Linked DNA regions of Diceros bicornis minor. The protein of the gene in region 1 interacts with the protein of each later gene in a pairwise test. Links are inferred from orthologs where the notes say so. Each region holds a gene or a part of one and is shown on either strand. Other genes may lie near its edges.

Evidence for each region.
Region 2: the proteins of PAK5 (region 1) and INKA1 interact in binary tests that used the Homo sapiens proteins (3 or more experiments, as listed by UniProt). The two-hybrid records come from large-scale screens. The link is inferred for Diceros bicornis minor from reciprocal best matches to the Homo sapiens genes PAK5 and INKA1.
Region 3: the proteins of PAK5 (region 1) and CCNG1 interact in binary tests that used the Homo sapiens proteins (3 or more experiments, as listed by UniProt). The two-hybrid records come from large-scale screens. The link is inferred for Diceros bicornis minor from reciprocal best matches to the Homo sapiens genes PAK5 and CCNG1.
Region 4: the proteins of PAK5 (region 1) and PSMF1 interact in binary tests that used the Homo sapiens proteins (3 or more experiments, as listed by UniProt). The two-hybrid records come from large-scale screens. The link is inferred for Diceros bicornis minor from reciprocal best matches to the Homo sapiens genes PAK5 and PSMF1.

Annotation. Positions count from the first base shown.
Region 1 is NC_080758.1:37,440,843-37,448,502, reverse strand, and holds the start of PAK5 (serine/threonine-protein kinase PAK 5), read left to right. Parts: upstream 1-4,659; 5' UTR 4,660-4,802; intron 4,803-7,660.
Region 2 is NC_080741.1:50,922,932-50,929,159, reverse strand, and holds INKA1 (PAK4-inhibitor INKA1), read right to left. Parts: upstream 2,308-6,228; 5' UTR 2,169-2,307; coding exon 2,118-2,168; intron 1,381-2,117; coding exon 592-1,380; 3' UTR 520-591; downstream 1-519. Other genes in the region: UBA7 (ubiquitin-like modifier-activating enzyme 7), read left to right, coding at 164-293. UniProt on the Homo sapiens protein: Inhibitor of the serine/threonine-protein kinase PAK4. Acts by binding PAK4 in a substrate-like manner, inhibiting the protein kinase activity.
Region 3 is NC_080740.1:78,342,716-78,350,440, reverse strand, and holds the start of CCNG1 (cyclin-G1), read right to left. Parts: upstream 3,019-7,725; 5' UTR 2,823-3,018; intron 1,696-2,822; coding exon 1,435-1,695; intron 1-1,434. UniProt on the Homo sapiens protein: May play a role in growth regulation. Is associated with G2/M phase arrest in response to DNA damage. May be an intermediate by which p53 mediates its role as an inhibitor of cellular proliferation.
Region 4 is NC_080758.1:29,187,339-29,194,748, reverse strand, and holds the start of PSMF1 (proteasome inhibitor PI31 subunit), read right to left. Parts: upstream 3,024-7,410; 5' UTR 2,890-3,023; coding exon 2,761-2,889; intron 1-2,760. UniProt on the Homo sapiens protein: Plays an important role in control of proteasome function. Inhibits the hydrolysis of protein and peptide substrates by the 20S proteasome. Also inhibits the activation of the proteasome by the proteasome regulatory proteins PA700 and PA28.

The DNA.
Region 1 (7,660 bases):
ATATCCAACCTCATGATGATTTGGCCCTATGTTTTCTTCCAAGAGTTTTATATTTTTAGTTTCTATGTTTAGATATTTGGCCCATTTTAAGTTAATTTCTGTATATGGTATAAGATAAGGGTCTAACTTCTGTCTTTTTAAGTGGATATCCAGTTTTCCCAACACCATTTATTGAAAAGACTGTTCTTTCCCCATTAAATGGTCTTGGCACCATGTCAAAAATCATTTGATCATATATGTGAGAGTTTATTTCTGGGCTCCATTGGTCTTTTTTTTTTTTTTTTTTTTTTTTTTATTTATTTATTTTCCCCCCAAAGCCCCAGTAGATAGCTGTATGCCATAGTTGCACATCCTTCTAGTTGCTGTATGTGGAACGCGGCCTCAGCATGGCCAGAGAAGCGGTGCATCAGTGCACGCCCCGGGCCGCCAGCAGCAGAGTGTGCACACTTAACCGCTAAGCCACGGGACCGGCCTTCCATTGGTCTTTATGTTTGTTTTTATGCCATTTCCACACTGTTTTGATTACTGCAGCTTAATAGTAAGTTTTGAAATCAGGAAGTGGGAGTCCTCCAGCTTTGTTCTTCTTTTTCAAGATTGTTTTGGCTATTCTGGTCCTTTGAGATTCCATATGAATTTTAGGATAGATTTTTCTATTCCTGAAAAAAACGTTACTGAGATTTTTCTAGGGATTGCATTGAATCTGTAGAGTGCTTTTAGTAGTACTGGCATCTTAACAATATTAAGTCTTCTAATCCATGAAGGTGGGATGTTTGTCCATTTATATAGGTCTGCTTTAATTTCTTTCAACAATGTTTCATAGTTTTCAGTGTACAAGTCTTTCACCTCCTTGGTTAAATTAATTCTTAAGTATTTTATTATATTTCATACTATTGAAAATGAAATTGCTTTCCTAATTTTTAGATTTTTCATTGTTAGTGTATAGAAATGCAATTGATTTTTGTGTGTTGATTTTGTACCTGCAACTTTGCTGAATTCATTTATTAGTTCTAACAATTTTTGTGTGTGTGTGGAATCTTTAGGGTTTTCTACATATAGAGATCACATTTTCTGCAAACAGAGATAATTTTACTTCTGCCTTTGCAGTTGGGTGCCTTTTATTTATTTATTTTTCTTGTCTAATTGCTCTCCCTAGAACTTCCAATACTATGAAGAATAGAAGTGGCAAAAGTGGGCATCCTTGCCTTGTTCCTGATCTTACAGGAGAAGTTATTTTCCCCTTCAAAATTACAAATTGCAGGGCTGGCCCAGTGGCGCAGTGGTTAAGTGCACATGCTCCGGTTCGGGGGCCTGGGGTTCGCAGGTTCGGATCCTGGGTGAGCACCGACGCACCACTTATCAAGCCATGCTGTGGCAGTGTCCCATGTAAAGTAGAGGAAGATGAGCACAGATGTTATCTCAGGGCAATCTTCCTCAGCAAAAAAGAGGAGAATTGGCATCAGATGTTAGTACAGGGCTGATCTTCCTCACAAAACGAAACAAAATTACAAATCGCAAATAGATTTTGACAGCAGATAAAATCATGTCTTAAATGTCAGAGAAGGAAAATATACGGGCTCAAGAGGTCATAATTAACCACTTCACATACAAAAATGTGTATAGCCAGATACCTAAGTAGATAATGTACTCCTGTTGGTTCGCAAACTTGGGAGCTTCCTGAGTGGAATCTGAAACTGTCCCCCCATACATGGAGGGCAAGGAGAGACCAAAGAAAGAGGCAGAGCACTCCAGATTGGTAGGTGGCAGGTTTAATAAGCAAGGAAACTTACATACCAGGGGCAAGATGAGTAGATCTCCATACCTGCCTGCCAGAATCTTAAAAGTTTATATAGAGGCCTTGACTGGGTTCAGTCACATATACCGTCCAGATGGTCTCAACAACACATTGCTCTCTCAAGGTTGTGTCCTTGAAACTGACTCCTACTGTGGGAATGGTGGGCAGAATTCCAAGGACAGGGGAGGGGATGAGGAGCCTCTAATTGCTTGGGTTCAGCTCAAGGGTCAACCGGCAGTCATGTCCTGTCAACGACCTTCTCCAACAACTCCCAATTGCTGATTTCAGGTTATTTTCCAACTTTTAAATCTCTGAGCCATGGAGAAAGTCTACTACTTATTTAAACACAAAGGTTTTGAATGCCTCTGACAAATCAGTACAGTCAGTCCTACATTATGAATTAAAAAGTGTTGTATTCAATAAATGTATTAGTGTAGTGGAAAGTAATGTATTACCAAGACCCCCTAAGTGAAGGGCCTGTTACCCCAGCTACAGGGAGTCCTCCTGGCAGAAGGCCTTGACCTGTTCTCTCCTCAGGCACTGCCTCAGCTTCAGAGAGCTGCCTAGTCTCAAGCCCCTTCCAAGGCAGCTCACACTCAATGATTAATGTTAGGATAGAAAGGACTCGACAACTCGGGACAAGTCTGAAGGGTCATCCCAGCTCCAGAGCTCTCTGGAGGGCTGGCGAAGACTGTCGCTGGCCTGTGTCATAGCTTCACTTCTACCTCTGCCCACTCCTGCTTCCTGTATCTCACACCCACAGGGGTTGGTCCTTAATCAACATCCTGCCTGCTAAATGCTCAAGAAATGACATTATATAAAAAGAAAACCCCTAGGACTTAATGCAGCACAGTATTTACAGAAATAGTATTATTATTCATTTATAATATTTACCTTCCATAACTCCTAAATGAATTTGAGGCAACTAACAATAGTCATAGTAATTAACCAGTAGAAACAACCACACAAACACAAGCTTTACATATAACAGCAAAGATATTTTAAGTGATTAAAGTTCAGTGTTTCAAAAGAAAATTTTAATTGATAATAATCAGTCACAAATAAACAACACCTCTATAGAAATATTTTCTGGCTTTTGCATCTGTGTAAGCACACATATAAGGAAGTAAAAAACAGAAATATTTATGCAAATAATGTTAGGAGTGGTAGTGGGGCTAGTGGATGGGTAGTCAGGGCTATGTGAGCGGCTTAGAGAATAAAGAGATGGATTTAGAGACTCCTATTCCTTTAAACAGACAAACAGGGTATGATATACCAGGACATATTTCTCCTTTGTATATAACAGTATTGAGGGAGAAAAGTAATCATCCACTTATCCTATGGTTCCTGTTTTCATATGGCAGCTACTATATTGAGGGTACTGAATGAATGGAAAACAAGCAAGAGGGGAATGACAAATATTGTACCATTAACTAGAAAACTGTTTAGAGTTATTAAGTATAACGGGGTACCAATCAATACAAAGCCTTATTTTCAATCTGTTATCTAGTTATGGGATCAGATACCGTATTACTAGCTCCTGAAGCTATTGTGGGGGCAGCTAAGGACAGATAAGGGTGGGACGACTTCATTTCCAAGGTTGACAGCTCATGACTGGTTTTGTGAATGTCTCTCTACTATAGGGTGGACGGTGAATATTCTGGACAATGCTAGAGCCTTCCAGGATTGGGAAGGGAGTGGACAACTGACGGATTTAAAGATGAACTACAAGATATCATTGCAAGCTTCAGCCCAAACATCACTCATCAGAAAGCTCTGTCATTTCTTAGTGCATACATACCCTACTCTTAACCACCATCTGTCAGCCTTCTTAATTGGGCAAGCCCAGCCTTACCACTACTTGCACAGTAAATCGACACTTTGATGAGTTTTTGTCCCAGCCCAGGAAAGGCATGGGGACTGCGAGGGAGACTGGTTGAGACTTCAGTAGAGGCTCAACTAGCAACTAGTTTGCTAGCCAACTAGCAAAGCGAGCATGGAGAGGTCCAGGAATCCATCTACCCCTAAGCCTCAAATTCTAAGTCAGCAAGTAGCCCATTAATCTGGATGCTCAGAGCCCAGCCCTACTGAGATTCCTTCCAAGGCGGGCACAGCAACCCCGGGGACACTATCAACTGTTAGCTGCCACACCATCTGTAGGCAGGAGGACCCTCTGTGGATGCCAGAGTCCATTTCTGGGCTGGCTGATTGAAAGACGGCCGCTCAGAGGTCACAGAGGGGGGTCTGTAGCTCCTTCCTACTCAGTGTGGCCGGAGGACCAGCAGCATCAGCATCACCTGGGAGCTTGTTTGGCTTGTAGAACCTCAGCGCCCAGGCCACACGAATTGAATCCGAATCTGCATTTTAATTGGTGGGCACATTAAAGTTTGAGAAGCACGGGTCCAGGTGGTAGCAATGAGGCTTGCGGACGAATCTGCTTCTCAGCTCCGCCCCCTCCCTCTCTTTGCTCTCCTCCAAAGCAAAGCTCAGGCTTGCGATGGTCCTGCACAAAATTTCTGCAAACCCGGAGTATGTGGGGAGGGGGCGCGCAGGAGCTGCTCCCCGCCGGTAGGGCGGAGGGAAGGTGTGATTGGATTGGCAAAAGGCTGCCTTCTTCAGCTCAGGGCTCCGCGGAGCGTAGACACTCCCCCGACCCTCCCCGCCCCCCCCCCTCGCCACCCTCACCCCCCGCAGCTGCTACTGCCTGCCTCCCGCCGGCTGCCACAAAAACCCGGAACAGCTGCGTGCGCTCATGGAAAGTCCTCCTAGGGGCGAAGCCGGGCAGCTGGGCATGCTCAGTAGCTGGGGGAGGCTTGGGTGGAGAGTAGAAAGCTTTGGCTCTGCCTCCCACCCCCTCCCTTTGGCCCCCGCCCCCCTTGCCCCTACCCAGCCCGTAGTAGTTGCCCGGCGTGCGCCCAGGGAGACCGGGAACATGGCGCTCCGAGCGATGTAGCCGCGGAGGAGAGGAAGGGGATGAGGCAGCGCCGCTTCGCTGACAGCCAGCCACCAGGTAGGCAGGCGCGCCTGGCGGGGCTGCCTGGGTAGATATCCGCGCGCGGAGGGGCGCTTGCGGGGATGCGCACGGCTGGGACCCGGGGCATCTTGCTTTGCCGGGAGAGGATGCGAAGCGGACATCTGTGACAGCGCGCAATTGTGCATCTCCTAGGAGATGCCAAAGGCTGGGGACCGGCTGGCTGGAGGGAAGGGATCCGGGGACCGCCCCCCGCCCCCAACCACCGCCACACGCACAGCCATGCGCTGCCATTCAGCCTGGGTTCTCTACGGGTCAAATAAAGGATAGTTCCTTTCTGCTGGGCGGGAGGGCTTGAAGGAGAACCCCGGATAGCAGCCCTGCGAGCGCGCTGGTCCCCTGGACCGCTACAAGCTCAGCACCAGTTCTTTGTGTATACAGCCGCGCACGGCCGGGGGGTGCCACGGTGCCTGCTTCTGCCCAGGAGTGTTGGACATATTGCCAGGGCAGGATTCTCGTATGGTTTTTGTGTCTTGGCAGGTGTGGACTGGAAGATGCAATAGCTGAGCCTTTATGGGGCTATGTTTTCCTTTGTTACTTGCTTGGGTGTGCGTGTGCGTGGTGGGTTGTAATGGAGAGAGAGAACTTCTGCTCGTGGGCATGGGTGTGGGCAGAGCGTGGAAGAGGATCTCGATTCCAAACTCTTGTCAAAATTGCGTGATGTCGGCCTCCTGGAGGGTAAACTTGAAAAGTCCAGGGATCATCGGTGCCCAGTTTGACGGAGAAGTGTGTTCGCCCTTCTTGAACCCCGTGTGTGTATCTGGAGCTTTAATCATGGGACCCCAGTTAATTCAACATGAGATATGGATTAAGAGAATTTGAAGCATTGGGGCTATCTGTGGTGGTCTTTTTTCGGCCAGAGTAATGAAGAAAAAGAGAAGTTGGCACAAAGCCAGAGGAAAGTGTCATCATTAATAGTTGATGACAGCTTGGAAGGCAGAATACACTTTGGGGGGAAATGGGGAAACGTGGCATGCCACAGGGTTCTACCAAGAAATAGCCATAGGGTCTTAGGTGACTCACAGACCCTCTCAGCGCATCCTTTTCTCTTCTGAGGTTTGGTGGCATGTAGACTCTCTCTTACCTGAGTCCAGATGGACAAGAGGCTCTTTAGAAGTCCTGCTACACTAGACTTCTATGAAACTGACACCGCCTTATAAGGGCTCTGCCACCTTGTATTTGTCTATCTGTTATATTCAGCAGTCCAACTCACTGAGTTAGGGAGGGAAGATAAATTTAGAATATACTTTTACTTTCTGCTTTATAATTTAAAGCATGGACATCTGTGACTATGAAGTTTAGAGACACTTCCCTTTGTACTTACACTATTTATTTTTATGGTCTCCTTAGGTGGCAAGAATGAGTCAGTATCATCAAAATGAAATGGGGTATGCTTGAGGAAAATGCATTTAAGTAAATTAAAGCCATAAATGTCCAATCTGATGATAATACCTTGACTTGGAATACATATGTGCAAAGCAGAAGCGGTGCTAACGGAAGCAATAGAAGTTGATGGCAAGTTCATTGATAGCATTGGTCTTAGAATAAAATTTTTGTGTTCCTGCGTGCATGGGTAGAGACTGATTGTACGAAGTCCCTGCAATTTGTTATTTTGTTAATAAGTGTGCGTTTTAATTGCAGGCGTTGAAAACATTGTTCAGCAGTACTTCTCCTTCACCCTGTCAGAGGCTGCTAAAACGCTGCAGGTGTGAGAGCAGGTGTTCTAGGGTGTGTCTCGGTGTCGAGACAGAGCTGAGTTTGAACTGACTCTTCCATTTGTAGCTTTGTGATCTTGGGCCAGCTATTTGACTTTCCCAAGGCTCTGTTTCCTCATCTGTAAAACAAGCCTAGGAATAGTAAGACCTACCTAGATGGGTAGGTGTGGGGATTACTCATAATACTAACCACCAGGAGAGTGGTGGTGGCCATCATGAGAAGAAGGGAAACGGATGTTTATTGAACGCATATTGTGTGCCCTGTATTACACTAGCTGGTTCAAAAACATCATCTTATTTAATCTTCCCAACTGTATTAATTTCCTAGGGCTGCCATAACAAATTACCAAAAACTAGGTGGCTTAAAACAACAGAAATTTATTCTCTCACGGTCCTGGAGGCTAGAAGTCCATAATCAAGGTGTTGGCAGGGCCACGCTTCCTCCGAAGCCTCTAGGAGAGGATCTTTCTTGCCTCTTCCAGCTTCTCTTAGCCTCAGGTGTACCTTGACTAGTGACAGCATCATTCCAATCTCTGCCTCCATCTTCACATGGCAACGTTCCCTCCTCTTATAAGGACACCATTCATATGATTTAGGGCCCATGCTAATTCAGTATGATCTCGTCTTAACTTGATTACATCTGCAAAGGCCCTAATTCCAAATAAGGTCACATTTGCAGGGCTTGAATTTGGGGGGTACATTCTTCAGCCCAGTTAGCTAACATCCTTATGATCTGTGTTTAATGACAACATTAATATGATGTCAGCATATGAGCAGAAGGTAGAGATAGAGTAGTATGGGTTTAGAGAAGACTTTAAAGGCTATTTAATCCAGCTAACCTATTTGAGGTTTTATATACCCAACCATGGTAGGGAGGAGCAGCATTCAGAGGTTCCTCACTTATATAAATGTCACTTATCTGAAAACCTAGATAATCTAGGACCTCAGTCTCATACAGGTGTCCCAAACATACCCTGTCCCAAATGGAGTTGTTAATGTTGCCTTCATCCCTTTTTGCTAACCCACCAACACAGTGCAAACAAACAGGAAACCAAATTAGACAACAAAAATGACAACAGCAACAAAAATACCCCAGTCTTAACACCTTTCTACTCTCTCTTA
Region 2 (6,228 bases), on another chromosome or scaffold:
GCTCCTAAAATAGTTTCAGATGTTTCCTGTCTTGAGCTGCTCCTGCTCCCGGCTTGGGCTCCTTATGGACCATCAGCACCCTCTAGTCCATGCCAAGTCACTTCTGCCTGCCACTGCTCACCTACTCAGTCTTCCTCAACCTCCCTCCCCCCTATGCCACCAGGGTGACAGAACTGGTGCAGCAGGTGACAGGCCGAGTGCCTAAGCCTAGGCAGCAGGTGCTGGTACTGGAGCTCAGCTGTGAGGGTGAGGAGGAGGACATGACCTTCCCACCCCTGCACTACGAGCTGTGACAAGCAGCAGCCCAATCACCCAGCTCTTTCAAGCCCTGCATCCTGAGTCCACAATAAGCACTCAATAAATGCTGGCTGAAAGAAGGCGTAAGTGGAGAGGATGGATGATGGAACATGGGGCAGGCACATGGGTGTGACATGAGCATGACAGGGACCCCTGCAGGGAGGGAAAAGGCTCTTTAGATTCGCCTGCCTGGGCTGTGCCTTACAGGGCTGGGGCCGCCTCCTGGAGCCTCAGGGCTATGGAACCAGGACAGTCCAAAGAAAGGTCTTTATTGTCCCAGGCTGGAGGGCAGGGTCAGAGGTAGCTGATGACATCACTGCAGATGATGGGCTGGCGACTGCGGCAGCTCATGAGGGCTGCAAAGCGTGAGACATCTGCTGGCAGTTCGGGTTCTGAGCGAGGTGGGCATGACAGTCGCTTTCCCGCCATGGCTGCCCGGCGTGCCCTGGCCAGCTGGCGCCGCAGCTGCTCAGAGAGGCCAAGCAGAAACTGGGGGGGCCGAGCACGGGCACGGGGCCCACCCGCATCGTCTTCCTCACCCACTGCCTCAGGCAGCTCCATCCAGTTGTGCACCAAGTCAGCAAAGCAGTTGTCCCCCAGCACAAGGGGCTGGCGGCTGCGACCTCTGCTCAGCAACGCTGCTGTCCAGTCCTCAGCTTCCAGCCCCCGCCAATGCTCCAGGCAGGTGTCTGGGGTGGACTTGGGCCGTGGTCGGTGAGCAGGTGGTGCACTGGCCACAGGGGCCCCTCTGGGCAGGGGCATGCCACTGGCCGAGAGGCTCTGTCTATGGGGGGGCCATGCTGGGGGTGCTGGGTGCTGGAGTATGGGCAGCTCTTCCTCTCTCCATGTGCTGCCTGACACCTCCGAGAAGCCAGAGTCCCAGTCTAGGGCATGCTCCCTGGGGCCCCCCAAGGCTACACTCCTGCCTCGTGTCACCACAGCTTCTTCTTCCTCTTCTTCCACACAACAGACCGAGTTCTCTTCCAAGCCATCTGAGGCCTTGAGCTGCACACCTGGGCCACATTTGGGGGGTGGCAGAAGAGGGCCAGGCATTGGTGGTGAGCCTGTGTCCCGGCCACACAGCTGCAGAGAAAGAGAGGGCAGAAGTGGGAGGGGCAGTGCTTGTCACCTCTGCCTGCCTGGCAAGCCCAATCCCCAAACAGAAGGCCCAGGAGGGCTGGATAGGCCTGCAGGCCTGGGCAGCAAGGCCTCTAGTGTGCACAGGGCTGGCACGGGGGTGCTGGCACACGAAGCTCGTGTGGCTCCCATAAGCCGACCTGGTGGCAGTCTGGCAGGCTGCAGCATGCAGAGCCGGGCAAGTCGGTACCGGCCACCAGGGTGGAAGGCAGGGTTGCCGGCATGCATGGGGAAGTAGGTCCTACTCAGGGCTGGGGGGGCATCCCGTGCCTCTTGAGGGATTCGGCTCCCCAAAGCCCACAGAGTCTTTCAGAGAAGGACGGAGCACTTGCCAGGTGAGGGGTAAAGAAAGGAGGTACAGGACAGCCTGAGGTAGGGGGCAGCGCCAGCACTTCTTTAGTTCCTCGCAGCCCCCTGCTCCGGGCCAAAAGAAGTTTCTCCCCCGCAACTCCCTCCGCCGCCCCGGCAGCACGGCCAGCTGGGCGGCTGTTACTTGATGCCCAGCGCAGCTCCCAAGCGTCCGAAACCCGACGCGGGCCATCTGGGCCATTTGCACCGCCCCGCCCTCATCCTGCCTTGGATAGGCACTCGGGACGGCCCCCCACCCGTGTGTCGTTCCGGCCGGACGGCAGCCGAGCACCGTACACACGTCCTCACGAGCCACAACCGCTCCCCAGCCTCACCAGTTCCCAGCGGAGCTGGCTCAGGAAGCTGTCAAGCCGAGCGCTGTGCATGCCTGTGCCGGAGCCCCCGCCAGGCCTGCCGGTTCTTGGAACTCCAGCGGGAGCGGCGCGGAGAGGGCCTGGCTAGCCGGCCAGCGGCGCCCTGCCCTCCGCCTTGCTCCGCCGCTCCGTGAGCTCCGTAGCTTCCGCCGCCGCCGCCGCCCCAACATCTGGCAGCCGCGCCGCGCCCCTGGCGCCGCGGCCAATAGGGCCGGGGCGGGGCTAAGGTGGCCCCGCCCCTCGGGACCCGCAGGGTGGGAGAGCCCAACGCCGGCTCCTCACTCGGCTCCAGCTCTGGGGGGAGGGGCGGGACTGTAGCGGGAAGCCCGGCGGGGTCCGGCCCCGGACTCCCCGACGCCCCGGGCGGTTGAACTGACTCTGGGTTCGCAGCATGACTCAGGACAAGTCGCTTCCCTGCGGTAGCCTCAGCTTCCGTATTTTTCCCAGGATAGAAATGCAGCCCCTCCCGCAGGGGCCCCGCGAGCGCGCGGGTACCCTGGCTGCGCCCAAGCGCGGGCAGAGCGCCCCCAGTCTTCGGACCCGGTAGTGCTGTGGCCCACTCGGCGCCGACACACTGAATCCGCTCCTGGAGCCGGCCTCGACAATCCCTGGAAGTGACGCGAGGGATCCAGCCCTTCTGAGGACTCCAGCCGCGAGGCACCTCGCTGCTGCACAGGAGAGAGGCCTCAGCCAAGGCCCAGCCCACGCCCTCTCCACCCCGAGTCTGGGCCGAACTAGGCGGGGCCGCCCTCTAGTGGGGAGCGCGCGGTTAGCCGCGATTGCCGCGGCGGCATCCGCATCCCCTCTGCCAGGCACCACAGGCCCACTGAGTGCAGGGTGTTAGAGCGGCGTTCTCTGGCCGGAATGGTCAGAGCCTGTTCCCTGAGGCCGCTCCACGATCGGAGGCTAGGTTCAAGGATACAGTCTAACTGGAGACAGACTAGACAAGTCAGTAGACAGAAAAATACCGGGGAACGAGGGTGATGGGCTAGTTTGGGAGAAGGGACTCTCAGAGGATGTGGCATTCTGCATGGGATCTGGATGACCCATCATGGGGAGATCAAGAAGAGGGGCATTCTAGGCAGAGGCATCAACCAGTTAAAGGCCCTGAAAGGACAGGAACTGGACAGGGCTTAACCTAAAGAAGGCCCAGGTGTTTACGATGATAATAATTGGGAGAGTGGTGGCCCCCTGGCTTAGCGGTTAGGTGCCCATGCTCCGTTACTGGGGGCCCGGGTTTGGATCCCTGGGGGCGCACGCTGACGCACCGCTTGTATGGCCATGCTGAGGCAGCATCTCACATACAGCAACTAGAAGGATGTGCAACTATGACATACAACTATCTACTGGCACCTTGGGGAGAAAAAGGGGAAAAAAGGAGGAGGATTGGCAATAGTTGTTAGCTCAGGGCCGGTCTTCCACAGCAAAAAGAGGAGGATTGGCATGGATGTTAGCTCAGGGCTGATCTTCCTCACAAAAAAAATAATAATAATAATAATTGGGGGAGTGAAGAGGTCAGCAAAACCAGGCTCCTAGCAGCCTTAGAAAGGAATATGGGGTTTTGTTCTTGGTGTGAGGGGGAGCACTGGGGGCTTTTGAGCAGGGAATTACCTAGGCTGCCTCCTGTTGAGATAATCCCAGCTGCTTTAGGAGAACTACTCTGTAATCAGAGTGGAGGCTCCTGCCCTCATCCAGCAAGGGAGGGGAGGGCCTGGGCCTGGGTGGGGCTGGTGAACAGAAGGGGGTCACTTTGGGGTATGTTTTGGAGCTAAAAATCAAGCCTTGCTGATGCATGAATATGGGTAGGGAAAGGGAAGCATCAAGCACAGCTCCTAGATTCCTGGCCTGAACAACTGGTCTGATGGAATTGCCATGAATTGGTCCATGAAAGACTGGAAAAGAGTGGATTTGGGGAGGAAAATCAAGTGATCATTTGTGGACATGTGACCCTTGTATTGCCTGTTAGACATCCAAGAGGAGATGCGGGGTCAGCCACTGGATGTGTGACTCTGGAGTTTGGGAGAGAGATCAGCACTGAAGCCTTGGATCTTGGAGGCAAAGCGAGTGGATGTTATTTAAGACCATGCTCCTGGATGTGACGGGGGAGGTGAGTTTAGACAGAGGAAGGCAGCAGTCAGGACTGAGCCCTGGAACATTGCACCGGCTAGAGGTAGGGAAGTTGTAGCAGAACCAGCAAAGGAGCTGAGCAGGAGCAGCCAGGGAGGTGGGAGGAAACGGAGAGAGTGTGGGCACTTAGGAGCCAAGGGGAACAAGCATCAAACACCACTGAGGAGGTGAGAGTGGAGAATGCACTGCTGAATTGGGCAGTATGCTGGTCTCTGAGGACTCTGACAAGGGCAGTTTCATGGAGAGAGGAATAAGCTTGACTGCAGTGGGTGGAAGAGAAAGTGAGAGGTAAAGAACTGGAGAGAGTAAGTGTAGACAACTTTTTAAAAATTGACATATAACATAAATACAATGATTGTCAACTCTCAAAGCTACAGCTCAATAAGTGTTAAAATCTGTAGACACTTGTGCAGCTGTCACCCAGATCAAGATACTGTATAGAATATCTCCAGCTGCTCCAGGAGGCCACTTTGTGCCCCCTCCAGTTGATATCCCCAAAGATAACCACTATTTTGATTTCTGTCACCAAGGATTCCTTTTGCTTGTTGAATGTAGACAATTTTTGAGAGATTTTGTTGATGGTTGGACACATATTTTATAAGTAGATAATATTCTAATGGGGGAGTGGGAAACTAGAGTTTGGACTTTATGAGGTAGCAGGTCCTGGGCCCAATTTTCCTGGTGCTGTGCTTGCTCTGTCTCCAAGGACTGCATGACCAAGACTTCTCTGAGCCTCAGTTTCCCCATCTGAAGCTTGATTCTTCTCTCTTCACATCTCCTTAAGGTTATAGTAATGAATGGGGGAATTCATTGGGAGCAGTGAAAAAATGGGGTTTTCCAGGCCTCTTGATGCCTGTCTGAAGCCTAGAGCTGTCACTAGGGATGGGCGGAGCTAAAATCTGGTAGGCCCAGGAGTCCCACCTGCCCAGCTGTGTTTGAGCAATTGACCTGGCAACTGGGTGGGCCTGACAAACATGTCTGGCCTTCCAGAGTCTCCTCTGCTGTTTGTATCTTCAGGCCACTATGGTGCTGCTGAGGGCCCTGGCGCTTCTTGCTCTGGTTGTCTCTGGTGAGGAGCTGGTAGGTGGGGGAAACTCCAGTTCTCACCTCCCTCCCCCCACTCCACAGTGGGGTAGAGACCTGACCCTTCTCAGATAAGCTATCATGGAGGGCGGGGTCTGGAAGAGAGCCAGGAAAGGGCAAAGATCTGAACCCTGACCCGCATTCCTTATCTTGGCTGCTTCCTCAACCAAATCCTCACTCCCAGTCTGTGAAATGAGCTGACCCATGGTTGGACGTGGGGGACAAGGAAGTGCTTTGGCTGCTTGGCCCCAAGATGGGCAGAAGGGCAGGACTATGCTCATGTGTGTGGTTCTATGAGCATGGGGGGCCTCCAGCCTGAATCATCTCTTCCTTACGGACTTCCGCTGCCTGCCCTGGTTCATAAAAGTCTCTGAGAGCCAGGGACCTGGTACCATCCTTCTGTCTTCCCCCTTCAACTGCTCTTCTCACATGCCCACCCTGGAGTTGCTCCATGTGCAGCCATCCACCACCTTCTTCAACCCACCCAGCTTGACCAGGTGGCAGGAGATCTATGCGGGTGAGGTAGGGTCATGGGCACAGCTGCGGACCATGGGGAAACAAGGGCAGAACTTAAATTAACAAAGCCAGAGGTGGTGTAGGGGGATGGAGAGCCTAGGCCCCACATGGCACTGCCCACCTGCCACAGGTGACCTTGAGCACCTTGGCCCGGCTGGATGCCCTGGTGGTGAACCACTATGAGCTCCAGCTGCAGTTCACATGTGGCAACCATGTGATGGAGAGACTGCTCTCTGTGGATGTGCAGCGGGACCCTGGCCATATCCAGTGTGCTGGCCGATTTGCCAGCCCAGGTAAGGCCAGGGGTAGCAGGCAGGGGGTGGCCAGGTATGGCCTGAACAGAGCC
Region 3 (7,725 bases), on another chromosome or scaffold:
TTTATAGAGTCAAAGGTGCTGGGGCCAGGCCGGTGGCGCAGCGGTTAAGTACGTGTGCTCCGCTTCAGCAGCCCAGGGTTCGCAGGTTTGGATCCCGGGCACGCACTGATGCACCACTTGTCAAGCCATGCTGTGGCGGTGTCCCATATAAAGTCGAGGAAGATGGGCATGGATGTTAGCCCAGGGCCAATCTCCCTCAGCAAAAAAAAGAGGAGGATTGGCATCGGATGTTAGCTCAGGGCTGGTCTTCCTCACGCACACACAAAAAAGGTAGTGCCTGCACATGGTGTCTAAAGACTTGTTTAATTAGTCTGTTGAACAAGTTTCTTGAATCATCCAATTAAATATTGAGTTCCTTTTACAAAGGATTATATGATGCATTCTGTTAGGTACTGAGAACTAAAAGATGAGTTTCATTTTCATTGTCACATTATCTTATTATCCACCAACAACCATGGGCACACAGAGAAAGCTGATGTATTTTTTTTAAAAAAATGATTTATTAGTTGATGTACAGACTTTTATACACATCAAGCGTTTCTCTAAAGTATAGTTTCTTGGGGTCTATATGAGCTATATTGAGGCAATGACAATGATGTATTTTTGTTTTTTTTTTTTTTGGTGAGGAAGATTGGCCCTCAGCTACCATCTGTGGCCATCTTCCTCTATTTTGTGTGTGGGACGCCACCACAGCATGGCTTGATGAGTTGTAGGTCCATGCCCAGGATCCGAATCTGTGAATCCTGGGCCACCGAAGTGGAGTGTGCGAACTTAACCACTATGCCACAGGGCCAGCCCCAAAGCAGATGTATTTTTAACAGTTAGGCTCTGCAAGTTACACTGATGTCCTGCTTATCCAAGGTAGGGAAATAACTGTATAAATGCTCCTCCTTCAGAAGATTCTCTCTTTTCTACTGTATTCAGACTGAGGCTGGAAGTGCCAAGCATAAGCAAGACTTGAGTAGGTCTAAGGCTAAAACAATTAGAACTTTATATATGAGTAGAGATTAAGAAATATATACTGTAGGTAGGTGGTTGACAGCAAATATTTGTATATATATTCTCTAATACTTAACCATAATCTAGCATTCTGGCTCTAACACATTTCTTTAACTTTAAAAACAACAGTAAATAAATGAAAATACCCAACCTATCAAGAAAGATTTTTAAAAACAACAGCCAACTCTCTTACTGAGAGACTCTGATATTAGACTATTTTTCAGTGTCAAGTCTAATAAATGATGCATTACTCTTGATTGTAAGGAAGAGTATTCATCAATGCTGTAGTACACAGAATTAATATAAGGTTTTGGCTACCTGCTGAAAATAAAAAAGGTTAAATTTATGAATACCAGCCCAAAGCTAGCAATTCCATCTCCAAAACACATTGAGCTAAACTAAAAAATACTCGGAGTAATGTAGCTTTAAACATACCTTCATTTTGGACAGGAATCTGTCCAGTAAATTCACAGCTAGAGAAAATGTCTCTGTGTCGAAGCCAAAGAACTGAGTTAAACTAAGAAGGTCTTTTACTTCGAAGTCCCTCAGCCTTGCAGTCATTCGGAGGCCATTATCATGTGCAGATTCAATTAGTCTCAAGCCGCAGACCTTTGGCTGACATCTGGATTCCTGTTCCAACAGGACATTCAGCTGGTGTAGCAGTTTCTGAGAGTCAGTTGTCAGTACCTCTATCATCTATATATAGAACAAAGCCCAGAAAGGAGAGTGAGAATAGCCCTTCTTGTGTTGTATTCTGCCAAGTGCTTTATAACACAAAGTCTCCCCTCTGCCAATGCTGCTAGTGAATCTAAGTCATTGCAGAGTGCCATCTGTTATTCTCCCCCCAACACCCATTGGTCACATCCTAAATTGTGAGTTTCTAGAGGGCAGGAGCCATGACTTTTTAAAAAAAATTGCAAATCTTCAAGAAATACTTATTCAAGTCATTCACTGTCAAGCGATAACTATGACTAGATGCTGTAAGACAGGATACCAAAACTTTGCAATTAGATGGTAGTATGTATTCTGCCATGTATTGACAATGTGTTCAAGTTAGTTAATTTTTCTTAATCCTTAGTTCCTCATCTGTAAGGTGGGAATGAGGTTATCACCTACCTCATAGACTTGTGTGGAATAAATGAGATCCCCTAGGTGTAGAGCTTCGCACATATAGTAAGTGCCTAATAAACACTTGACAATAATAATGAACTTATTTCTACGTCTGTAAAATGAGCTATCTATATCTCTCTCTTTGAATGGCTATGTAGATTAAACAAGATAATTCATGTCGAGTTTAGCACAATGCTTGGCACACAGCCCTCGATAATTGTTAACTTTTACTGGTGTTAGGAAAGAAAGCTTAAAGGGTGCTGTGGGAGCATGCAGCGAAGGCGGGAGGCTAATGTAGCCTGCAAAATGAACCAGGGAGTTTCATTAATTTGAGACTGGGTATTACACATCTACTATGTTCCGGGCACAAGCTAAGCCCTAGATACACGACAGTCCCTTCCCACACCAACTGGAAGACAGGAAGGCAGGGGATCTTTAGGGTTGGGCGACGGAAGGGATGGGCAGATGAGGAGCCACTAACTTAACGGGTCCAACTCTTTCGCCCCTGGCCTGGTCCCTGGAACGGGGCTGGCCTGACTCTAAGACATCTCTGGAGGTCGGATCTGGCCCCGCCCTCCAGGCTCGGACTAGCCTGGACTTGTTGCTTACAGCAGCCGGAGGAAAAGGGCGCGGGCCAGACCTACCCCTCACCCCGCGCTCCCAACCCCGCTCCCTACCCGCACCCAGAGGTCAACCCCGCAGTCCCAGCTCACCGTGATCGCGGCTGTGGCTCCTCAGCGGTAAACACCCTCCCCGGGCCTGCTCTCACCTCACCCCACGATATCAGATCCGAGAGGCCTACGAGGCGAGGGGACTCGCGGGCAAGAGGGGAGAGGCCCGGGGAGGGGGGGAGCCGTCCTGGGTGGAGGTCTCCGCAGCGCCGCCGAGACGACACTGCCCTCCTCAGGGTCAGCTCGGAGCCGAAGGGGCCGCGCCTGACCGCCAGAGTAATATATCGGAGGGCGGGGCTCTCCCGCGAGAAGGGGAGGAGGGCATTTTGGCCGCTGATTGGTGTAGTTCTTTTGATGGATGGCTCCCTCGGCCCAAAGAGGGCTGGTTTGTAGAGGGAAGAAGTCCGGCCAATCAGCACACACTTCCCATTTTCCTGGAGTCAAATTCTCCGCCCCTTGAGGCCACGCCCCCTACCTCTAAGCTTCTCTGATTGGAGAATTTCCCAAAGTGTCTTCAATGAAGAGGAGGGCGAACTAAATGCTGCACGCGCCAACCCTGTCCCGGGTAAGGTCTCTGCTGGCTGCCGGATTGGCCAGAATATCGTTCCAGAATGTACTGGGAGTTTTTGTTCCGTGAGGTTTAGTAGAGTGGTTCTGCCGTCTCTTTCTAAAAATACAGTGGCTAGTTAAAAAAAAAAAGTAAAACCTTGATTTTTTGTTACAGATGGAGAAGTGGTCGATTTTCTGTGGTGTGGTTTATTAGAATCCAGAGGTTTCTCCCTGTGAGCTTTGGATATCAATTGCTTCTTGCCTTGTTTACTTTTTGTATAATTTATCAAAGAGTGGAGTTGGGCTACATAAATTCTTGGTTTTCTACCAATTTTCTGAATTTGGATTTTGAGAAAATTGAAATAGAAAAGTTGGTAGGTGTGTGGTTGACTTGTGAAGAGTATGTGGGCAAAATTGTAATGTCTGTGAATCTCAGTCCACAGATCCGTGTGTGAAGCAATATTATTCTTTTTATTTACTGTAAATGAACTTAATCTCTGATTGTGAGCCTATGCCAGGTTAGCGGGAACATGATTAGCTTGAAGCCCTCCCTCCCTCTCTCCCAGATTGTCACAAATGAGAAGGGCTTACACTAAAACGGCCTGAGGACTGGTGAGCAAGGAGTCAACTGATAGGAGTCCTGTCAGTTCTCATGGGTTGTACTGGGATGTCTCTGTTCTCATGACTTCTTCCTGGTTAGTGGCTATCTGAGCTTTGAAATAATGAAAATCTGAAAGATTTGCTGGCATCTCTGTTGTTTGCGCTGCCCTGTGCTTCCCTGTGGCAGTGCCACAGAACCAAGCCCTGAAATGGGGACAGAGTTGTAGGGAGAAAAAGTTAATATCTCAAAATAAGAGCCACATAATCAGGTCAGTTTGTCAAAGTGTGGCCTTTCAAATGGGGAAGGGGCCTTGGTCCTCCTTGAAAACAAACTTACCTAATGAATATAAATAGGCAATTTAAAACATTTAAAAATTACATATTACAATCATGTGTCAGTTTACAAATGTTCATGTTTCTCCTTTTGACTTTTAGTCACAAAATTAGGAATAGATACACATGTACTTGTTCATCAGTATCTGTTGAACACATATGTGCCAGTGGAGAACAAACTATACCCTCCCTGTCCTTGTGGAACATGTAGTCTTGTGGACAATTTAAACACATAGACTTTGGAATGAAACTGACTCATTTTCAAATCACAAACTACTAACTAGCTATGTGACTTTTAGCAAGTTATTAAATCATATTGTTTCCATTTTCTTTTCTCAAAAATACGAAGTAAAATACCTTATTCGTACAGTTATTGAGAGAATTAAATAATGGAAAGTAGATAAAGAGGTAGACACTGTGCCCAGAACACAGTAAATACTTGATAAATGGTAGCCTTTATTATTAAATTACTGACATTTCTTTTGAAATGTCTTGCTTAAACATATATTTGATTGTGTTTTCTCTGTTGTCAGATTTAGCCTTCTATTCTCAGCTTAGAATCAGAGTATTAGAATTGGTTATTTAACACTAAAAGTATCTAAATTGCATGTATTAATTTCTATACCTCATTTATACTTGAATTTTTCACATAAGGCTTTAGGTAATATATCATTGTTTATGTAATAAAAATGTTTCCCTCACATTAGGATCTTGCTATTACTTTTTATTAAAATCTGAAATTCCTACATGTTTCAAGAGCACTGAAGAAACATTGATTAGATATGAATCAAGTGAAATGGACAGTTTTTACCTTTTCTCCTTCCCCTCATCCCCACTATCATTTTTATTCCATAATATTAGACTACAGACTATCATTTAAATAATTTAAAAGACCTAATTAGCAAAATGTGCAAATGTAAGACTCAATTATATACTCTTGTAAAAGAAAGAAAATGAGCCGTTCATTAACTATGGTTTTATTTTTAAAGACTTGTAAATTTAGTAATGAGTTTCTACCAGGAATTTTTCAAATGACTGACTTCTACAGTATTTTCTAGGCTCAATGATATCTTCAGCTGCCATCTTCATACTTTCTTCTCCATCACTAGTTAAGTGTAGCAAGAACCACAGCTCAGAATAATGGCCTTAAGGCTGGGCAAAAATCCCAGGCTGTAGCGGGAAGATTTAATCATATTCTCTGCATTGTAGACTGCAGAAGTGCCTTTGAGCAACAAAAATTATAACAAGCAGGTATAATAGTGATGGCATGTCAAATGCTGCCCTGACTCATAGGGAAATTCCTAATTGGTTCTGTTTCTATCCTGGAGATTGGAGGAAGCTTTGCACCTCACCCTCTGTTCAAGCGCCCTGACAAATGTCCAGAACTTTTGGATGCAGGTTTGTCCAGCTGTGATGGCTGAAGGAAGTGAGGATCAAAAGGATCTCAGCAGAATCCCTTCTTCTCTACTTCTCGATCCTTTCCGGAACTATTTATTTCAGCCCCCACCACCTCCCCAACTGTTCTCTAGTGCACCTGCTCTGTCTTGTTCATTTGAAGAGAACTTGCTTGGCAGTGGCTTCTTTGAGTCTTTATTAGACTCTGGGACACCAGAGAAATTGTGTACAATCTGGGTGGTGGTGGGGATACAGGGAGAAGGATATATAGAAAACAGACTAGTAATGTCAGGTTTATCTTGCCATTCAGAGATTCTAGCTACCGCAGATAACGTGACCCCTTCCAGTTAATTGAGGTTTTACTATATTCTGTGAAAAACTAAACTTTTGATTTGTGAAGTAATCACTGCTATATAAAGGTACTGGGAGACACTGGGGTGAGACCCCTGATCTCTAGCGTTTAGTCTAATGGCCACAGACTGTTGAATGCAGGGCTCAAAGCCAAGATCTGCCAATAATAAAAAGTTTCCATTTGTTTTATAGTTCCCATGTGCCAGGCCACGTGCTGAACTTAAACACACATGATCTTATTTAGTCCTCTAACAACCCTGATGTTATTATTATTATCTTCAGAAATGAAGGATATCTTGTATATCTCCTGTTTAGTAACTACTATTTACTGTTTACTGAATATACTTTACACATAACTTGAATTTGGATTTTACTGCATTTTTAAAAAAAGTTTTTATTTTGGAACATTTCAAACTCACTACCCAGCTTCAATAATCATCAACATTTTGCTCATGGTACCTATTTACTTTCCGTTTGTCCAAATACTCAAGAAATATTTGTTAAGGACTTTCCAGGTGCCAGAACATTGTGTTTTATAATCCCAGATTAAAAATGTTACGGTGTTTGTGCCACAGGGTGGGTTGGCTATTGTTCTCTGTGAAGGTCAGGAGTTGGAAGGATCAGCTGGGTCATTGTCCTCCAGGTGCATCTCTTCTCTAGTCTGAAGCCCACGCTAAGGTGTCTCTGGGGTCTGTTGCTGTGATAGGAGAAGGTGGGAATGGGGAGGGATAACAATTCCCTTCCTTATTCAGGTTTGTGCCTAGGCGGCTAACCTTCCACCCCCAAAAGCACACACAGGCACGCAACTACACAGAAGGTTTTGACAGAGCTGAGAGTTGGGAAATGAAGTATTGCGCTTTCTAATCTAGCTTTTCTCTCTCTTTGCATTGTACTAGAATAAGGGACCTCATAGATCAGAACTTTTGTTCTCTAGGTTGGCCTTAAACTGGTGAAGACTTTGCTTACTTCAGGTCGCCACTTTCCTCGTTTCTTTAGCCTTTTAACTCTTTGACTCCTGATCTGAGTTTTGAAAGATTTAGCTAGGTAAAGAGGCTAGTGCAAAGGGCATTCCAGATGAAAGCAGCAGTATGTGCATGTGCAGAGGCACAGAGGAAAGAGAGAATAAGTGGATTTCTACAAATGAAGTATAGATTACCCCGGCTAACGCATGGAGGGAGGGTGTCTAGCGATGGTGGGGAGAGAAACACTTGCTCATCCTGAAGGGCCATGTATAACATTCTTGGAAGTTTGGACTTTATTCAACAGGCTTTGGGGAACCAACCATGGAATTTAAAGAGAATGCCACAATTGGACTTGTAATTTAGAGCGACCATTTGGCATCAGCCTGAAGATTGGAAAGAAGGGGCCAAAAGTGGAGTCAGGAAGACCAGTTAAGAGGCCATTCCTTTTCCCAGGAAAAAGTGACAAGATTGAACTGAGGGAGTTAGAATGGGAATGGAAAGAAGGAGATGGATTCAAGGGACCTTAGGAGGTAGAGCTGATGGATTGTGGCGTTTGATTAGATTTGATTCATTAGGGGATCAGGAAGAAGGAGGAGTTAGGAATAATGTTCAAATTTCTGGTTTAAGCAAAAGATTGAATGGAGATTCTGTTTCTGTCCTAAGATCAGGGAATATAGGAAAAAGACCAGGTTTGTGGGGGAAGCCTTTGAGCTAGACATGCCTGAGGGACTTCCGGGTGGAGATGTCCAAAGGCA
Region 4 (7,410 bases), about 8.3 Mb from region 1:
AATCAAGTTTTATGTACAACTCCCTTGTACCAGAGGAGACAAAACCAAAGAGAAAAGCAAACGATTCAGCTTTCCATTTAACTGTCAATATACTATATGATCAAGTATACACTTTCAGGACCTTTCTCTCTCTCTTATCACCCTCAAAAGGGTGGGGAGCAGGAGGTGGCTGGAGGGGCAACATAAACATCCTCTGAGCTTGGTAAACACTATTGGTCTCAGGCCAGAAAAATAAAACCCTCTCTTAAATAAATTACTAGGAAAGATGCCTCTCCAAACAGCTTCTACTCTGAGTGAAAGTAGACTCGGCAGAAGCGAGAGGAGGACAAGTGCAACCTGAGCTCCCGTGGCACCTAAGAGAACGGGCAGAGAGGCAAAACTACACTCCAGTGTGCAGTACAAGCACCCACCCCCTTAGAGGGCATGCATGATTTAGCACTGGGGTGGACAGATGGACAGAGGGCAATGCCTTTCAAAACCCTCATCCCCACTCTGTGGCCTCCCCTGGAGCCAGCATCTTTTTCTGGCCTGCATCAACTCAACACGTGGCCCCATGAACAGAGTAGAATTAGATGGACCTTTGGGAATCAGCCAAGGATCTTTTATTTATTTTTTTAAACCAGTATTAAAATAAGATCGTATTCTTTCTACATATTTCACCTGAAAACTTTTGGGCCAGGAGTATATGGCAAAGGGATGATGCCAGCTGGAAGGAGGCAACGACCTATATGAACCGATGTCCCTAAGCTATCAAAGTGATTCAGACAGAGTTGCTGTTGCTGACAGGATGTGTGAGGGGACGAGCAGTGGGAGCAGATGTGCAGTGTTGATGTATCTGTGGAGTGGGAAGAAGCGAAGGGAGTTGCGCAGGCCCTGTGTAACAAGTTCCTGTTCTGGAGGAAAGGTTCCGACAGTGTGTCCGAGTAGAAATAGCTACTTGGGAGTAAATAAGGTGAGGTACATGAGGAGGGGCAGAGAGCAGGGCAGACCTGGCAGATCTGAAGGACAGGGCAAGGGGCAGGGGGTGCTGAGGGCCGATGGGGGAGCTCCAAGGTCAGGACCAAGTCTTACTCGCCTCTCCAATCCCACTTCCCCCTGCACCACCCTACACACCAGCCTCCTGGGAGAAGTTCCCAGGAAGAGCTGAAATGAAATGACCGGGGCAAATGAAAGAGCTGCTAAAGAGGAGAAAGCTGGAGTGGGCAAGTGAGGAGAGATGGGTTTCTGAGGGGAGACTATGCACTGAAAGGGGAAGCCTGACACTTGTGAGCGGGGCCCGACTCTACCTGGTGCCAAGGTCTGAAATGCTGAAGGGCAAGGTAAGTGGAAGAAACGGTTCCTGCTTGCAGGTGTGTGTGCAAGGCTGGCCTTTCTTTTCCAGCCTCATCTCCAGGCCTAGAGTCCACGTGCGGGATGAAGTAAGAGTGAGCCTAGAGGTGGGGACGGGGGATGCTAAGTGTGTACCTGGGGTCCCAGCGAGATAACTTGAGGTCTGAAAAAAAGAAGCCAGAAATCCATGACAGTTCTTGTGCTTCCAATTCCCGTTGGTGGGCAGAAGTGAGAGGGGTGTGGTGGTCTTGGTCACTAGTTCTCAGGGACAGAGGAAGGGGGCCGTGGGGGGTGGGGGGAGTACTTAGCTCTAAGTGCTCAGGATGTGTAAACCGTGTTTGAGGAGGGATCCTACAGCTCTGTGTCGACAGGAAAAATGAAGACTCTGGATACATATCTGAGAAACTGAAAAAGGATTACGGAATTTGAGAACTGAAGCAATCAGAGAAGAGAGGAAGGTTAAAATTTCACTGTAAGATGCAAGGGGTGAGGTGCTCCGCTCCCCAGAGCTGGTCCAGGTTCTGAGAGTAAGAAGAGAGCGACAGTGAGGGGCAGCTCGGAGTCCCGAGCGTGTGTCGGGGGGAGCTGGCTGGGAGCATCTTTTCTCTGACGGAGCAGAAGGCAAATGAAGGGGCAGGCCCAGTTCCCCCAGGAATCTCACGTGTAGGCCGCTGTGCAGGGCGCGAGTCACAGGGAAGGGGCAGGGGAGACGGAACAATGCTACAGCAAAGAACCGGCGAGATGGGCTGGGCCCAGCATCCTGGGGCTCTGCGGGGAGGACAACAGGACCCCAGCTGCGAGAGGCAGAGCCCGAGGACGGGAGCGCAGAAGGGGCTCGTCTTGCAGGGACAGGCTGGGGGAGGAACGCGTACCCGGCGCTCACACCCAGGGTGTGCGTGTGCGGAAGGCGGGGATGGCAGCGCTGAGCGGTCTGCGGGGCGCGCCCCTTCAGTCCAGGGTGCCGAGTGCGAGCTCTCCGGGCCGTGCTGAGTGCAGGAAGGGGCCTGACCGGGGCTGCGCAGATCAAAGCTCACCCTACCTCTGTGCCTGGACCCGGACACCCGGTGGAGGCTCGAGGGCAGCAGGAGGGCAGGACTGAGTCCCCCCAACCCCTGTGCGGGAAGGGGCTGGGCGGGCGTTCAGGCAGCCGAGGAGCGCGCAGGGGAGCTGCACGCTGCCTCGGGGCCCGGCCCACCCGACCCTGGCCGGGGAGGCCGCCAGCCGTGCCGGGGCGAGCTTCCGTCCTCGGGTTTTCATACCACGCTGCGCCCGAGGAGCGCCCCCGACCCGCAGACAGACGCGCGGTGTCCGGACCCCGGGCCCGGACTCGGGAGGGGGCCGGGCGCTCCGCACCGGGCTGCGGGCCTGCGGGCTCCTGGTCTGCGCAGAAGACGCCGCGCCCCTCCCCGGCCCGGCCGCCCCGCGGCGTACCTGGTCGCCGGCGCCCAGGCCGCAGTAGCCGTGCGTCACCACCTCCCAGTGCAGGAAGCAGACGAGCGCGTCCTGCGCGCAGGTGATGGCCGGCGCCACCGACGCGAACAGCACCTCCAAGCCCGCCATGCGCGCCCCCGGCCTCTGCGGGCGGAGGAAAGAGGGAGAGAGAGCGGTGAGCCGACGTGCCCTCAAAGCACTGAAGACGCCGCTCCGCTACCCGGCTGGTCCTGGCCGCGCCTCCACCAGCGGCCAAAATGGAGACGCCCAGGGCTGGGGGCGCGGCCGCCGGAAGTAGCTCCAAGCTCCCGCACAGCGCGCGAGCGCGCCCGGCTGGAAGCCCCGCGCGGCGCTTAAAGGTTCCGCCAGGCAGCGCGCGGGGGTTCCGAGCTGGACTCCGGTTTTGTCCGGTAGCTGGCAGGACCGCTACGCGCAGGGGTTCCGCCTTCGAGCAGAGCCCGCCTTGTTCTGAGCCAGAGATTCCCAGGTGCAGAATGGGGTGGGCGTGTGCTGGTGGGGGAAGAGGTTATGAAATATGGCTAAAACATATTCATAATAACAGTTGGGACTTAGGCAGTGCCTGCTACGTGTCACATTATTCTAAATGCTTTATTTGTAGTCATTTATTTACTTCTCAGGACCCAACCCTATGAAGTTGGTGTTAATGATAGCCGCATTTTACAGATGGGTAAACAGAGGCACAGAGGGGTAGATTTGACCTAGATGACACAGTCAGCCAGTGAGTGGCAGCGGTGGTACTGGAACCTAGCGGTCTGGCTCCTAGGACAACGTTTATTAAATGTTTGTTGTGTGTTAGATCCTGTGCCAAAACCTTTACATCACCCTATCAACAACTCTACGAGGTGTGTTCCGTTGACATCTCCATTTTGGGGATAACAAAACCAGCTCAGGGTTGAAGCCACTTGCCACGAGAAGACACAGCTGCCGACCGCACAGCGAGAGCTCCTGATCCACTACCAAATGTCAATCATTTATTGGCCTGTCTCCTGCACGATTTTTGCTGCCTATTGCTTCTTCAACAAGTGTTTTGAAATCCACGTATCATTTTTACTCAAATAAATTTAGTTTTCCCATCCCAGTCAAAACCTCTCTGCAAGCCACCATTATCTCTCGCTTGGATGTCTGCGCCAACCTCTGGACTGCCCTACTCCATCTCTGTCTCCCTGAAGTCTGTTCTACACTCTGCAACTAGAGATTCTGTTAGAACACCTGCCAGATCACATCCCTCCTCTGCTCAAAACCTCCCGGCGCTGCCATCACACTCAAAGGAAAGGTGAAGTCCTCCCCATGGTCTGCAGGAACCTGCATATGGTCTGCACCGCTCCTCCCCACCCCCACCTCTCTCCATCTCCTCCAACTCTCCCCTCATCCTCTGCACCGTTGGCTGCTATAACCTTGCCTCCTCTCTGCGCTCACACACACATCTAATCCAACAGCAAAGCTAGTCAACCTTACCCTCCAAATATATTCTGAATCTGACCACTTCCTACCTCTTCTGCTGCCTCCACCCTGGTCTGATCCTCTAGCATCTCATACTTGGACTATTGCAGTAGTTCCCTAACCAGTCTCCCTCTTCCACATGTTCTGTTCTCCAGGCCTTCACATGTACTGCTGTCTCTGCCTGGAATGCTCTTTCCCCAATTGTCTGCGTGGTTTGCTCCTTCATTTTGTGACTCCTTCCCTCACCTCTTACCAGCCTCAGCAAAGGGCTTCCCTGACACCCCATCCACAATAACCTCCTCCACTCTTTAACCCCGTACCCTGCTTTCTTTCCTGCAAAGCATTAATCATAACCTGATACTAATTAGGTATTTATTTGGTTGTTTATGACTATCTTCCTGCTAGACTGTGACAAGGGAGCAGGGACCCTGTCTGTGTTGTGCACAAGTATTCCTGAGTACCTTCCTGGCTCAATATATACTTATTTGATAAGTATTTAATATTGAATGAATGAATGAATGAATGAATGCTGAATGAGTGAATTATTGGCCTGGGCTCAACGCAATTGGGCTAGTCTCACTCCTTTGCAGTCCACCACTCACTTTGTTAGCTGGCCCTGTACCTCTCCAAATTTTGTGTTTCTGGGGTTCCCCTGGAGTGCCCAGATTCTTGGACCCATCTCTAGAGATTCTAGCTGAGCAAGTCTGAGGTGGAATGCAGGTATGTTGACCACACTCTGGGTGATGCTAGAGCTGGTGGCCACGGAACTCCTGAGATATCCTGTCTGTGGCATAGAGCTATTTGCCCTTTCCACAGTGAAGCTCTGCACTTGCAGGAATCCCATCTTTTGCTTGCTCTGTCCCTTCTGCTTGCAGTCCTTCCCCAGTTATTGAAAATTCTAACCTATTCATTCATCATTCATGCAGTCATTCACTAAACCTCCACAGGCTGGGTTGCCATGGATAGTGATGCAGGCTGTGCACTGCACAAAGCTGGCCGCCCAGTGGCAGCCCCATTCCCAAGTGTCTACTGTAAGACAAGCCCAGATGAACAAGCCGTAGTTCCTGCCCCTATGGAGCTCACTGTCTAGTGGTAAAAATATTACAAACAAAGGTAATCCAGTGTAAAAACTGCCATGACAGAGGGGCTCTAGGAGGTCTGTGCAAGTCCAGAGGAGGCATCTAATTCACGCTGGGGGTCAGGGAGGGCTTCTTGGAGAAAGAGATTCCCGACCGCACTGAACCTTAATGGAAGGTTGGGAGTGAACTGAAGAATAAAAGGTGTTCCAGAGAAAGGGAACAGCATATGCAAAGGCCCGGAGGTGTGAAATGCGCTAGTACTGTGTGATTAGAGGGTCAGTGCTGCCTCCTGAGTGAGGCTTTCCCCCATTTACTCTGCCCACAATCAGCTACTCTCTCCTCAGTGCCGTTGGCACTAGCGGGGTGCCAAGGGGCGGGCACGGGACAGCAAGGGCTATCAGCCTCAGTGGGGAGGAGAATTTTGTCATCGAAGATGATTAGAATGGCTGGTTCATGGAGATAATAGAAAGCAGACTCGCGGTTGGTCAGCTTTATCACTGCTTTTCAGTTTTTACAGCAATGCACCCCTCATTGCCTGCACCCAGGCTGACGGCTCCCCCACCCCCAGCCCTTGCTTCAGCCACTGCTTCGCATACAATTGGTCATAGCTCGAATCTCACAGAACCTTGGCTCCCTGTTATAGCATTATTCACCATACTGTTATACATCATCCCTGTGGTAGCTTGGGTTCCCTCAGGAGTCAGCGTGAGACAAGGATTTGAGTGGTTTATTTGGGAGCTGATTCCAGGACATAGCAGGAAGGGAGTGGGAAGTGAGACTGGGAGGGAGAGGCAGCCAATGGGTGGCGTGTGATCAAGCCAGTTACCTCTGGGCACCCGGAGCTCCATCTTGTCTGGCAGCTCTGGGAGACACGTGTGTCAGAGTTGCCCCAGTTGAGGGTGAGGGCATTGCTATTTTTTCACTCACTCTCTGGATGAGGGCTGCTTCTGTGGGCATGAAAAGCCCTCAGGCAGAGAACTGCAGAGTTTAGAGAAAGTAGTCCTTGGTGCTTGGAGGTGACTGCTATGGAGTGAGCGAGGCACCGTGGTGTCTGCTGTGGCCCCCACTAATGGTGAGCCACGCCTTTACATGCTGTGGCCAAGAACCAGCGTGGAGTAGGCCCCAGCATCTATGTATTGAAAGAACAAGGTGAGCTCTGTCTCTTGCACAAGGCTCTGAGTCCCCTGAGAGCGGGACTGTTCCGTCCACCCTGGACCCCAGGGTCATCCATGGATGGGAACAAATGGGAGGATCCCCTGGGGCTGGAGGTTGTCCATGTCCTGCCCCTGGTCCATCCAGCACTTTCTGTGGACTTACCTCCGTCAACAGGAGTCTCAGTTGTCCCTGTGAGGCCTGTGAGTGGCTGAGAAGGCAAGCAGGTGGAAGATGCCTCCCTAGCTGGGCCCCCACCGCCTGGGCAGCTCAGAGCCCATGCCAGAGATGAGGGCCCAGGATGGTGGAAAGGATGTGGTAGGTGGTGGCAGCCACCAGTTCCTGGTTGCCGAGTGACAGCAATGTGGGTATTCCAAGCTCTCTGGAGACTGTCTCCCTAGAAACTGTAAAGAGGTGAGCTGAGGGGCAGGGCCCAGATGGACACTGAGGTGGAATAATTCACCACTGGAGTCCTTCTCTCCTTTAGCCTAGCATCACCCCAACCACTTCACTTCCTCCAGGAAGTCCTCCATGATTACTACTGTTCAATGCTAACTGGAACCCAAGACTTCCCATTCCCCTTGTTAGTGGAGTGCCCAGCATATCTGACACATGGAGGAGAGGACTCTTTTTTAAAAAAAAATATATTGTAATTTTAATATCACTCAGTTTTTTGAAAGATTTTTTTATTGTGGCAAAATATGCACAACATAAAATTTAACCATCTTAAAGTGTACAGTTCAGTGGTATTAAGTAAATTCACATTGTTGTGCAATCACCACCACCACCCATCTTCAAAACACTTCATCTTGCAAAACTGAAACTCTGTACCCGTTAAACAATAACTCCCCATTCCCCCCTCCTCCCGATCCCTGGCAGCTACCCTTCTACTTTCTGTCTCTTCGCAATTTGACTACTCTAGGTAGCTCCTTTCAGCGGAATCATACAGTATTTGTCA